Solanum lycopersicum: one gene and its partners. Each later gene encodes a partner of the first gene's protein in a complex. Links are inferred from orthologs where the notes say so. Each region holds a gene or a part of one and is shown on either strand. Other genes may lie near its edges.

Region 1 (3,717 bases):
TTAATTTTTGTTTATACAGCTTATTTAACGGAAATTTATTGACCATGTTATTCATTTATTTAGACCTAAATTACTCGACATAAACTTAAAATGTCGTAAAATAAAATTTAAATATAAAAAATTGAATAACCAGCATTTGTATGAATGACTTGACAAGGGATTAAGTTCACAAATGGCGTTAAAAAAGAATGGTCTTGATTATTTATTTTTTTAATCATGCTTAACGGATTTAATATAAATAGTCTTCGCTTGAAAAAGATATCCACTAGACAATGTTTGGGGAAGTTGTTGTGGACATAAATTAGTTGTCTCTCGAAAATTTAAGATATTTTAAGACAGTGAACCTGCTCAATCAATTACAAATTCTTTTTTATAAGCAAAAGCTATAATTTATTTATAATATAAGCAACATAAAATCTTCCTAGCCAATTATTTTAAATTAAAAATATTTTCTAAAAAATCTATTAAGCAAAGATCAAAATTTAAGATCAAACACTTTTAGAAACACCAGGCGTTAAGTGTGCATATGGTTAGGTTGGTATGAATTTTTTAAATATTAAATCAAATCATTTGTATGGAATTTTTAAATATATGAACCAAACCAAACCAATAAAATACGAGTTTTTATACTTTGGATTTTTTCGGGTTTTTTGAATCATTCGGGTTTTTTCGGGTTTTCCGCTAAAATATTAATTCAAACATATAATTTATTTTGCATGTCAAATGTTTCTTCAACTCAAACAAAAATACAACTATCTAAGATGTTTCTTAAGAATATAACACAAATAATGATATGATTAATGACACTAAAATATCCAAACATATATATATATAATGAAATCGCGTAAAAAATTACAAATCGACAAGTCATAATGAAAATGATCATAATTTAAAAGTACTAAATCATGTTAAAATAAGTTTAATAAGTATTAGTTACATGGCTAAATATTAAAGGAAATAAAAATTAGATTATGTATTTAAATTATCTAACCAATGTAAAATCAAAGAACAAATATTCTATATTATTGTCATTCTTAGGTTAAATTGTTTTTCTCTTTTGATTATTATTAATTTGATTTTGATTTAAGTTTTAGTATAATTACCAATATCGACTATACCATCCAAAATTCTAAGTTTTAAATTTAAAATAATATATTAAAAGATTAAAAACTATGAAAAAGTATAAAAAAATATTTAAAAATTATATCAAAATAAATAATTTATGTATAAAATAAAATTTTAAAATCATTTTATAATATCGAATTCTTTTTTTTTATATAGTTAAAATTCAATTTTTTATTCAATTTTATACGCACTTACCACACGTCATTTTGAGTTGAGGGTTCGGCCCAAAATCTGATTCTTTAATGGAGCCCAAGCAAGCCTACTTGTATGTGGGCCTAAATTAACTGAGGCTCAAACCCCGTGATAGTAATAAATGTTCATTAACCACATAAACTCATGCATTTATTTCATCTCCTCCTCATACTCGTGAATACATTATTATCCTACTTTAATTTATGCACCCACCCATTTTCATTCACTTGTCACACTCCCCAACCTGGTCATTGTCATAAATATTTGTGTTATAAAACACCCCCTAAAAATACAACCAAGTTTGTCACTTCATTCATATTCCAAAAATGGCCCTTTTTCTCTCAATACAAATACCTCTACTACTACTATCTTTTTTCTTCTTTCCTCTAGGGTTGTCATTCACCGTCATAATGTCGGACTCCGGTGCTCTAGTCGATGCTCCACAAACCGGCTTCTCGATGAATAACAATCGTGCACGAACCGATCCTCGTGAGCAAGAAGCCGTTTACGACATTATGAGGGCTACGGGGAACGATTGGGCCATCGATATCCCTGATGTTTGTCGTGGTCGATGGCATGGTATTGAGTGCATGCCGGATAATGACAATGTGTACCACGTTGTCTCACTTTCCTTCGGTGCATTGTCCGATGACACAGCGTTTCCTACGTGCGACTCGACTCATTCCTTCATTTCACCTTCGGTTAGAAAACTTCCGCACCTTCGGATTTTGTTCTTCTATCGTTGCTTTAGTAACAATCCTCAGCCCATTCCAGGATTTTTAGCCCAATTACGGCCCACTTTGCAAACACTAGTGTTAAGGGAAAATGGGTTCACAGGGCCCATTCCTAATGAACTGGGTAACCTAACCCGTTTGAGAGTTCTGGATCTTCACAAAAACAATCTTGATGGTTCAATACCCATCTCTCTGGGTCGGATCACCGGTTTGAGGTCATTAGATTTGAGTGACAACAAACTAACCGGTTCTATTCCGAGTTTAACTTTCCCTCAGTTGAATATCTTGGACCTCAACCAAAATCACCTTACGAGTTCAATTCCATCCACACTCATGAGCTGTCATTCGCTTATAAAGCTTGACCTAAGCCGTAATCGCCTCTCTGGTTCAATACCTGACTCGATCCACCACTTAAACAATCTCATCCTTTTGGATTTAAGCTACAATAGCCTAACAAGCCCATTCCCAATGTCGCTCAAGAAATTGAATTCTCTACAGACCTTAGTCCTGAATGGAAATCCAATGGACTCAGCTACTCTACCGGACAACACATTCGATGGTTTCAACAGCTTAATGATTTTAGGGTTATCAAACATGAATCTTCAAGGGCCAATGCCAAATTCACTAGGCCGATTACCTAAGCTACGAGTCCTCCATCTCGACGGGAACAAGTTAAATAGCTCGATCCCATCGAGTTTTGGTAATTTAAGAAACATAAGTGAGCTTAGGCTAAATAATAACATGTTGAGTGGTCCTATTCCATTTAAAAGAGACATGGTTTGGAGAATGAGAAGGAAAATGAAGCTTTCAAATAATGATGGGCTTTGTTACAACAAAGAAAATGGGCTTGGAGATGATTTAGAGACATTGTTGGATTCAGGGATCGGACATTGTGGGGACTCTAAAACAGTGCCAATAAAAACAGTACAACACATTTCAACACTCAACAGATCAAATAGCAACAAATTATTATCGTCTCTTGGATGCTTCCTTTGGTCAGCTTTAGTTTTTGTTCTAGTTTGTCTGTTGTGAGTAGTTGTTTACAGATTTTGGTACAGTGCTTTTTTTTCCCTTTCTGTTTTTAAATGTAACTAAGCATATATAATACATAAATGTACTTTTTAATTTGATTATAAACTTTAATTTTGGATGTGCACAAGACACAAATAGACATTTTAACTTGTATAGAGTTGAACAAGTACACACATGAGTCACAATACACATAGGACACCACATAAGATTCATGTACTATCTATTTCTTCAACTTTATTTAAATTAGTGTATACTTGTGTATATCTAAAGTAAGAGGATATAAATGTAAGTTGAAGTTAAGTTAAAGAATATATTTATATTTTATGTGTAGTATTAAATAAGAGTATGACTACTTTAATTTTCAGATTTTTTGAGCAACAACTTGAATGACAATTGTAAATATTTGTTCCAAGTTTTGAATTTAATTTTAACGACGTTACTAATGAAGTTGACACTACAGAACTAGTTGGAATTAAGATTTTTTTTTAATTACAAAGAGAATGTAACCTCTCATTTCCAATTATTTTCTAGGTTAATCCATCCCAAATGATGGAGTCAGTACTCCATTTTTTCTTATATTCTTTTATTATTACAATTTAGAAGTAGTTCTCGTTTGGATTGGCTTAAAAAAGAG
Region 2 (4,445 bases), on another chromosome or scaffold:
TTTAAACTAATTTTTTAAGTTCAGTTAAATAAAGGATATATGTGAATCATTTTATAACGACAGAATATATATGAACCGTTTGTATAACTCTAAATAACAAAGTTCGGTATATCAACCTTTTCCTTTTCTTTTTTTTACAAAGTAAAGTATACATAAACTTCCGTTGATTTGGTATACTCTTCAAATTGCAAAAGAAATGCTTATCAGAGCGAAAGCCATAGCTGTATTTACTCACAGCTCCATATTTCATTGCAATGGCTTTGGAGACCTCTTTTCCTCCTTCAATTTCAGATATCAGTATCTCTACTCAACAACCGCAGCTCCTGCCCCAACCCATTTCTTGGTTAAATACCTTGTTGATTCTCTCGGATTCTCCAATGAAGAAGCTGCATCTACATCCTCCAAGGTAACTTCACGTAAAAACTTAAAGAATCCTGATTTAGTCATCAATTTCTTGAAACAAACTGGATTCGACAACACCCAGATGAAAACAATGGTTTCTAGTGTTCCCAAATTACTATTTCGTGATGTTTCCAAAACCCTAAAACCCAAATTTCAGTGCCTTATGGATCTGGGATTATCCGGGTCGGACCTGGTGGATGTAATTGCTAAAGATTCACAAATTGTTGATAGAGGTTTAGATACTCATTTGAGACCTACCATTGATCTCCTGAGGAGGGTTTTGGGTAGTAACGAAAATGTAGTTAAGGCGTTAAGGAGATTTCCTTGGCTGCTTTCTTTTCGTGCTCATCATACTATTGAGACTAATATATTGTTGTTGAAAAACTATGGTGTTCCTGATGAGAGAATTAAAAAACTCATGCTTAGAAATCCCAGTTATTTTGCTCAAAATCCTGAGAGGATTAAAAGTTTGTTGCATAGGATGGAGAACGATTTTCGAGTCCCACGGGATTCCTCTAGTTTTCTTTATGGATGTCAAGTGTTAAACTCATTAAACAAGTCTAAGTTGGAAAAGAAATTTGGAATCTTTAGGAGTTTTGGATGGTCTGATGATGATATACTCAAGATGTTCAGGAAGCTACCTTTTTGTGTTGGCCTCTCGGAAGTTAGAATTCATAAAGCACTGAATCTTTTCATGAAGGAACTTGGTATTGGAACTGCTTACTTGGTTTCTCATCCTGCAATATTGGTCTTCAGTATGGAAAAAAGGGTGGTACCTCGGATGCAAGTATTGGATATTTTGGACGAAAAGAAGGTTGAGAGGAGAAAGTTGGATCTCTATTATGCTCTGAGCTTAAATGAGACAAGATTCATAGATTATTTTGTGCAGCCCTACAAGGATCAGATGCCTGATTTGTATGAACAGCTCAAGAAAATTGTGGCTCCTTTATAGATTTTGTTTATTTTTGACACCAAAAGGTGCTGAGATCTTTCTCAGTTTTCAGTTCTAGTTCATTACATGTATTGCTTTTCTGTTTTCAGTTTGTATTCTGAAAACACAGTCAGTGTTGACGAGAAGTCTGAACTGCTGTAGGCTATATGCAAAAATCAATCTTGCAATTTGAAGCTGATTGGATTCGACAGATCTTGTTGATAACTAATTCCGTTTGGCAGTTACCGTTACAATCAGGTTTGTTCCATAAGACATGAGTGAGTCAAATACTTCTGTGACAACATTGGTTTATCTGATGTAAGGTCCTGATGTTCTTCTATTCTCTCTGAATTTGATCCTATAAAATTTTGCATTGAGTTATTTGCTAGTCTATCCATTTGTAAGAACTTGATGGTTAGTTAGTTCGTTAGGTCCTTCCTTTTACTAATGATTAACGTCTAAAGAATATTTTCTTGTACCTTATCCTAGACGTTAAAGCTTTAGTCTTTGTCATATAAAGAATGTGAAGTTGAACATTCTTTTTCCTTTCATACTTTCTAGTCCTTGAAATGATCGATTTAACTCTTATTTAGTCTTGGAAGCTAATTAGTTGGGAAGTTTAATTTGAGTTGGGAGAATCACAACCTCTATGGTTTGAGGTATCTGTCTGAAATGGAGATCAAAATCAGGGAAACTATAGTGTTTTTTCTCTCTCGTGACAATGGTGTTTGAGCAAGCTGAAGATCTATCCAAAACAACCTCAGTACCTGCTTAGGTAGGGGTAACGTCTGCGTATTATACTAGGTATGCTGTTGTTGGTATTTAGGTAAGCTTGCCATAACTTCAACTGTTTATATATATATATATATATATATATATATTAATAATAATAATGGCTAATTTAGACAAAAAAATTCATTGCTGGCAGAGTTGGAATTAGGATTAGAAATTTATGAATTATATCTATCTGTTTTAAATTGTCGGATCTTAAGTAATAATCAGTACATATCAAATCAGTTTCTTACCATTAGTCAATCACACTTTGTCCAAAAAAATTTCTAGCCTTTATTGCACAATTTACATTTTAAATAGGTTGATTTTTACTTTTTTTTTTGCCTCAGCAATCGATCTTATTTTTAGTAGTGCGTAAGTTTTTTAAGAATACACTTACGTAACTCTTGAAATATTAAAAGCTAAAATGAAAATATAAATTTATGCTCCACGAAAAAATTATTTGATGACCCGTTTTTCTACTTTGAAACAAGTTTGGAATAATGGTGTAAAGTGTAAACCTGTTTTTCTACTTTAGCTAGCGTTTGGCCATAGATTTTCAAATATTTTTGACAAATATTATTTGAGAAAATTTGGTGAAATTTTACCATGTGTTTGGCATAGGATTTGGAAATTATATTTCACCTTTTTAGAAAAATATGATTTATACCCATAAGTTTTAAAAACTATCAAAACTAACTATAGGTTTGTATTACAAGTCAATTGGATGTTCGTTACAACAATAACAATAGTGTCCATGACACTAGAGCAATGCTGTAATTTAGAGTGAGTGCAACAAACATCATTCCATACATCGTAAAGTATACAAAACACGTGATTTTGTTACCTTGAGCCAATTTTTCATCATTTTCATCAACAATCAAATCATTATTTAATATTCAGTAAATATTTCATCACTATTTTGGTTTTCCACGTAAAAGATTATGTAATACAACGCAAGCAACTACTATAGAGGGTGTTTTTGTAAAAGATAAAAGTTTGAGGTAAGAATTTAATTTTCAAAAGATCCAAAATAATGAGATTTGGCCCAAATATTAGAAAAAAACTTGTATTTGAGAATTTGGGATATTTGCCAAAAATATTTGCCAAATAATGGCAAATTGTATGGACAAACATTATTTGCCATTTTTTTCCAAATATTATTTGGGAAATCTCATTGCTTATGTGTTATTTTCTTTGTTCTTTTTTATTTGTCGTCCTTATTAAAAATAGATAGTTTTTAATATTTATCATTTCACAAAATTATAATGATAATATTGTTCTTATTTTACCCTTTGAAAGTTATTAGCCTTGAAGCTATACATTTGCCCATATATAGAAAACTTAAATAATTAATCTATTTTCATTGGTCAAATTAGTTAATTAAAGTAAATTACTCCTTCGTTTGAAAACTTGACTTCAAGATAACACTAAATGAGAGTACAATAGTAATTTCACTCAACATTTTAAGAGACGAGAAATCTAAAATGATGACATATAAATAGGAACGGAGAGAGTATGTACAAAGAAAACATTCTAATTATTTCTTATAGTGATAATTAAAATTTTTTATCTATCATGTTCCATGCATATTGGATATTTTATGATGGTTGGTATTGAGAATTACGTTATAGATACTTCATTAACACATATTTATACTTAGAAAGAAAAAAAAAAACTTGTCTCTCTACATACATTTCTTGTTTTACATTACTACTTTAAGCTACTTCTTTTTATAATATTATGAGCTTAATTTTGTCAAATTAATTGTTACTCGACTCGACTTGTTTGGTATTTTTTTCTCTCTCTTGTAATATAATCTCAAAGAGATTCAAAATTGAAAAATTGTACTTGGTATAGATTTATTCTTGCAGGTGCAGTAAATTAATAAGACATGAAACATGGGAGGAGGGAAAATATACATTAATTAAAGGCATGCATGAAAAAGAAAATTTATAAATGCTCAAACTTCATTTATTCCAAAGTTCAGACCTTCACGTTTTACCAGACCCTTTCTTCAATGATCTTCTATTTGTGTCTTTTGCCTTATACTAACTTTGACGAAACATAAAAATTGTGAATATAAATACAGAGTAGTTAAATTAGGTTTTAGACTTAATTCACACCCTAAAAGATAGATCTAAGGGAGAAAGACAGTCCAAACCTTATAAAGAGTCCATTCATTGCTTAACATATGGTGCATGAACAATTTTGATATTGGAGACCCCATCATCGGGTGAGACGGATCCTGCTCTGATACTATGTTAAATTATATTTTAGGCCTAACTCACACTCCAAAAATTAGCTCAAAAAAAGAAGGATTGCCCAGACCTTGTAAGGA
Region 3 (3,560 bases), about 56 Mb from region 1:
TAGTAAGTGTAAGTAGCTTCTCATATAAAACATATTTGTTTAATCATATCCATTCAGATAATAAATATATTCGTATAATTTATATCTTTTACATGCTTTTTAAAAAAAATCATAAACAAGAGGAAAAATTAAAATAATTTACCATTTATCTACTACTCTGAAACAAACTTTTTAAAACTTATTAACTTATTTGAACTCTCAAAACAATTAAAAGTGAATAGAAGATAGTAATATTTTTTTTCTAAAACATCAAGTAAATATTTATATATAATCAAGTGAACAACATATATAAAACGAATATATATATATATATATATATATATATATATATATATATATATATAACTTCAAACTATCGTTAAATAGATAATATAGAACCTCAGTTTGATGTGTCAAAGCAATTCAATTAACTTGTTAAAACATGTGAAAATATTCACATGGGGTATGAACATTTTATCAATTTAAGTAATCATAAAAGAATACTCTAATATTTAATAAAAGTAATAAATACATCACATGCAATAGAAATCACATTTTGGAGTTTTTCTTTAATTTTGTGTGAGTAAAAACAAACATTTATAGCAGTCACATTTGAGTACACTAAGCTCATAAATTTACTATATTTACTTTTCATCTTTGAGATCATGTTACCATAATTTTTACCAATATAATATTTATTATAATATATGCTTTCTTCATTTAAAGCTGGTCCATGAAAATTGACAAACCTACTTCAATTCACCATTCAAATTTTCACGTTAAAACAACATTTTTTTTTTGGTCATAGTAAATCTTTGTACCATAAATTAATCACCATACTTCACAAAAAAAAAAATTAAGAAATATTCTCTTTGTCTAATTAATTATAAAATTAAGATAATATTAATTAATATTTCTCATTTTTCCCTTAGAATTAATTAAAAAGATATGAATTAATCGCATAATATTTGTACGATCAAATCATTTAAAATATAATTACAACTATATTTGTTTAATAAAAGCATTGTCCGGGTAATCAAGTGGAATTAATAAGCTTATAACATATTAAATTACGTTCATAATGTAAGAAATTCATTACACTATCAATTACTATAATTTAATTTAGTCGAATAATAAAAAGTTTCCTTCTAAATTATGTTATTAGTGATCCGATTGAGTAAATATATATCTCTTGGACTGTACCCTTTTGGCAACAATAAATATATATATTAATAAAGAGTGTAAAAAATTTTATCGACATTAGTTAATTTTCATTGGATTCAGTGTCACTATTGACTTTTCGAGACATTTACAAAGAGTTCTAATTGGCGCTGAAAATATATATTTAGCAACAAGTAAGCTATTACCGTTAAAAATAGTTTTTTGATAAATGGAAGTGTGTCAAAGTGTGATTCACAGGGTTCTCAAGCCCTATGAGTGTAAATGTGCCTATTTCATGTGACCTAGCTTATTGTTATATCATCTCTCACTCTTGCCTGTGACTTGATTCAATTCTCACCTCTTTTAAATATCCATTCATTTCTTTCTTTTTTCCTTCAACAAAACATTATAATATCAAACAATAAATTAGGTGATCAAAGAGCTTAAGAAGAAGAAGAAAAAACAAAAACAAATTAAGGATGTATACAATGAGGAGTTTCAAGTATATTGCAATTATGATCATTGTTTTTCTTGTTTTCCTTCCAATTGTCATGAATGCAAGGCAAATTCCCAAGATTAACTCATGTATGATCAACTTCTTTCTTCCAACCATTTTATTTCTCGATTACTGAACTTGATAGTTATTATTTCAGAAAATCGTAATATATTTGTGAATATTTGAAGAATCAACTTTTTAGTTTTCTTTATCAACAAACAATTTTATAAACTTCATTGATGAATAATTACTTTTTCATTCAAATATGTATTTTATTTTACATGACACACTTTTCTTTGGTAGTTTATTGAAAACAAAATGTTATTTTTTTATACTTGCAAAGAATTCAAATGTTAAACTTTCATTTTACATTAGAATGAAATTTTTTTATAGTCACACAAATATTATAACATGTTTAAGATCACAAATTATAAGTCTTTGTTTTCATTAAATTGGTGCCCCATAAACTAAAATTCAATTCTTCTCATACAAACTGATATAAGTTAAACAACTTTTCTCATATTAATATAAGACTAAAAAAATAGTAGTACATCCATAAATATTAATCAGAGTTCACATAGTTTAACTATAAAAAACATGAAACGTGAAAAATATCTTATAAGGTGAATAGAGAGTTTGTTTCTAAGATTTTTATTCAACCTTTATTAGTAATACATTTACCGGTCTTCAAATATTTTAGTATAAAACTACTATGTCCATAATTAAAAATGACTAATAAAGTCCACCTACACTCTACCCTTTTCATACTTCACGATTTCTATTTATGTGATCACACTGAATATATTATTGTTATCGTAATATTCTTGCTTTCTCTTAATTACCACATAAACTTTGTGCTAATGATGCTCATTTTTTTTTTTAATTTTTTTAGATGAAAGACATATGGTCATGGCAAAAAGAGCATATACATTGCAAGTAGCAGGATCAAGATTACCAGATTGTTCTCATGCATGTGGATCATGTAAACCTTGTAGATTAGTGATGGTTAGTTTTGTTTGTTCATCATTAGAAGAAGCTGAGACTTGTCCTGTTGCTTACAAATGTATGTGCCATAACAAATCATACCCTGTACCTTAATTAATTAATCATTAGTTTTTTTTAAAAAAAAAAATAACTATATGTTAGTTATGTTATCAATTTTCCAACTAATATCATATATGTTACATATAGTACTTCTTAATATCCTTTAGTTCCCTAGTGTAGGGTCTAATTTGTAGGATCATTTCTCATATGTACTCAATGAGAGTTTCTTCTTTCATTTTTTTTAGTCGCAAGATACATCAATAATCTGTTAAATTTGTTAGTAAATTTCATTAGTTCTGATTAAGTATTTAAACATATGATTAAGTATTCTCTTACGAAATCTTGGAAAAGCTTCTCCACAATATATGTGTATTCTCAAGTACATGTTGCATAAATAAGTTAATTACTTAATTAATAAGTCGTAAAATCTCAAAGTTTGTTCCAATTGATTTGTACATCATGAACAATTAAAGGAAGAGACATATTTTGTGATTAACTTAATGTATCAAATTTCGCTCTCTCTCGCGCTTTATAAAAATATAAATTATACATTGTATTTTGTATAATCTGTGTTTGTATAAAGAGAGAAAGACAAAAAAGAACTGGGTGGGGGAATATTTATATTGTGTAATTATAAGTGTATAGAACGAATAGATATATATATTTGCATGTGTATATACAATTTTCTCTCGCTTTATAATAATAGAAACATAATTTATACATTTCTGATAATATAAAACGAGAGAGACGAGCGAACAAGAGAGGGAGAGTGAAGAGCGATAGTTTGAGGGAGAGAGGTGACTGACAAATACTTTGCTACAGAACTCAATTAAATCAAAGTATTTTTATAGCATTTAATTTAAATTATTAGTTTGTCACT

Evidence for each region. The genes of interacting proteins can lie anywhere in the genome.
Region 2: the proteins of protein TOO MANY MOUTHS (region 1) and protein EPIDERMAL PATTERNING FACTOR 2 are in contact, whole or in part, in a crystal structure (PDB 5XKJ), measured with the Arabidopsis thaliana proteins. The link is inferred for Solanum lycopersicum from reciprocal best matches to the Arabidopsis thaliana genes TMM and EPF2. Residues at the interface, in NP_178125.1 of Arabidopsis thaliana: Trp73, Ile77, Pro78, Arg82, Gly83, Arg84, Trp85, His86, Gly87, Ile88, Glu89, Met91, Val101, Asp110, Asp111, Thr112, Ala113, Lys135; in NP_564442.1 of Arabidopsis thaliana: Asp75, Tyr78, Ala79, Gly81, Ile104, Arg106, Arg112, Tyr113, Tyr114, His115, Val116, Pro117, Ser118, Arg119.
Region 3: the proteins of protein TOO MANY MOUTHS (region 1) and protein EPIDERMAL PATTERNING FACTOR 1 are in contact, whole or in part, in a crystal structure (PDB 5XJO), measured with the Arabidopsis thaliana proteins. The link is inferred for Solanum lycopersicum from reciprocal best matches to the Arabidopsis thaliana genes TMM and EPF1. Residues at the interface, in NP_178125.1 of Arabidopsis thaliana: Trp73, Ile77, Pro78, Arg82, Gly83, Arg84, Trp85, His86, Tyr98, Asp111, Thr112, Ala113; in NP_179684.1 of Arabidopsis thaliana: Arg56, Asp59, His62, Ala63, Gly65, Ser66, Lys93, Pro102, Val103, Pro104.

What each region holds. Positions count from the first base shown.
Region 1 is NC_090811.1:60,150,878-60,154,594, reverse strand, and holds protein TOO MANY MOUTHS, read left to right. Parts: upstream 1-1,436; 5' UTR 1,437-1,643; coding exon 1,644-3,083; 3' UTR 3,084-3,188; downstream 3,189-3,717. UniProt on the Arabidopsis thaliana protein: Promotes cell fate progression in stomatal development. In leaves, needed to correctly orient spacing divisions, to limit the number of asymmetric divisions in neighbor cells, and to promote the asymmetric (amplifying) divisions of meristemoids.
Region 2 is NC_090803.1:61,264,781-61,269,225, reverse strand, and holds the start of protein EPIDERMAL PATTERNING FACTOR 2, read left to right. Parts: upstream 1-1,500; coding exon 1,501-1,591; intron 1,592-4,445. Other genes in the region: transcription termination factor MTERF5, chloroplastic-like, read left to right, coding at 197-1,354. UniProt on the Arabidopsis thaliana protein: Controls stomatal patterning. Regulates the number of cells that enter, and remain in, the stomatal lineage by inhibiting protodermal cells from adopting the meristemoid mother cell (MMC) fate in a non-cell-autonomous manner.
Region 3 is NC_090811.1:4,045,861-4,049,420, forward strand, and holds protein EPIDERMAL PATTERNING FACTOR 1, read left to right. Parts: upstream 1-1,506; 5' UTR 1,507-1,619; coding exon 1,620-1,725; intron 1,726-2,528; coding exon 2,529-2,734; 3' UTR 2,735-2,915; downstream 2,916-3,560. UniProt on the Arabidopsis thaliana protein: Controls stomatal patterning. Regulates asymmetric cell division during guard cell differentiation. Mediates stomatal development inhibition. Not cleaved by the protease CRSP (AC Q9LNU1).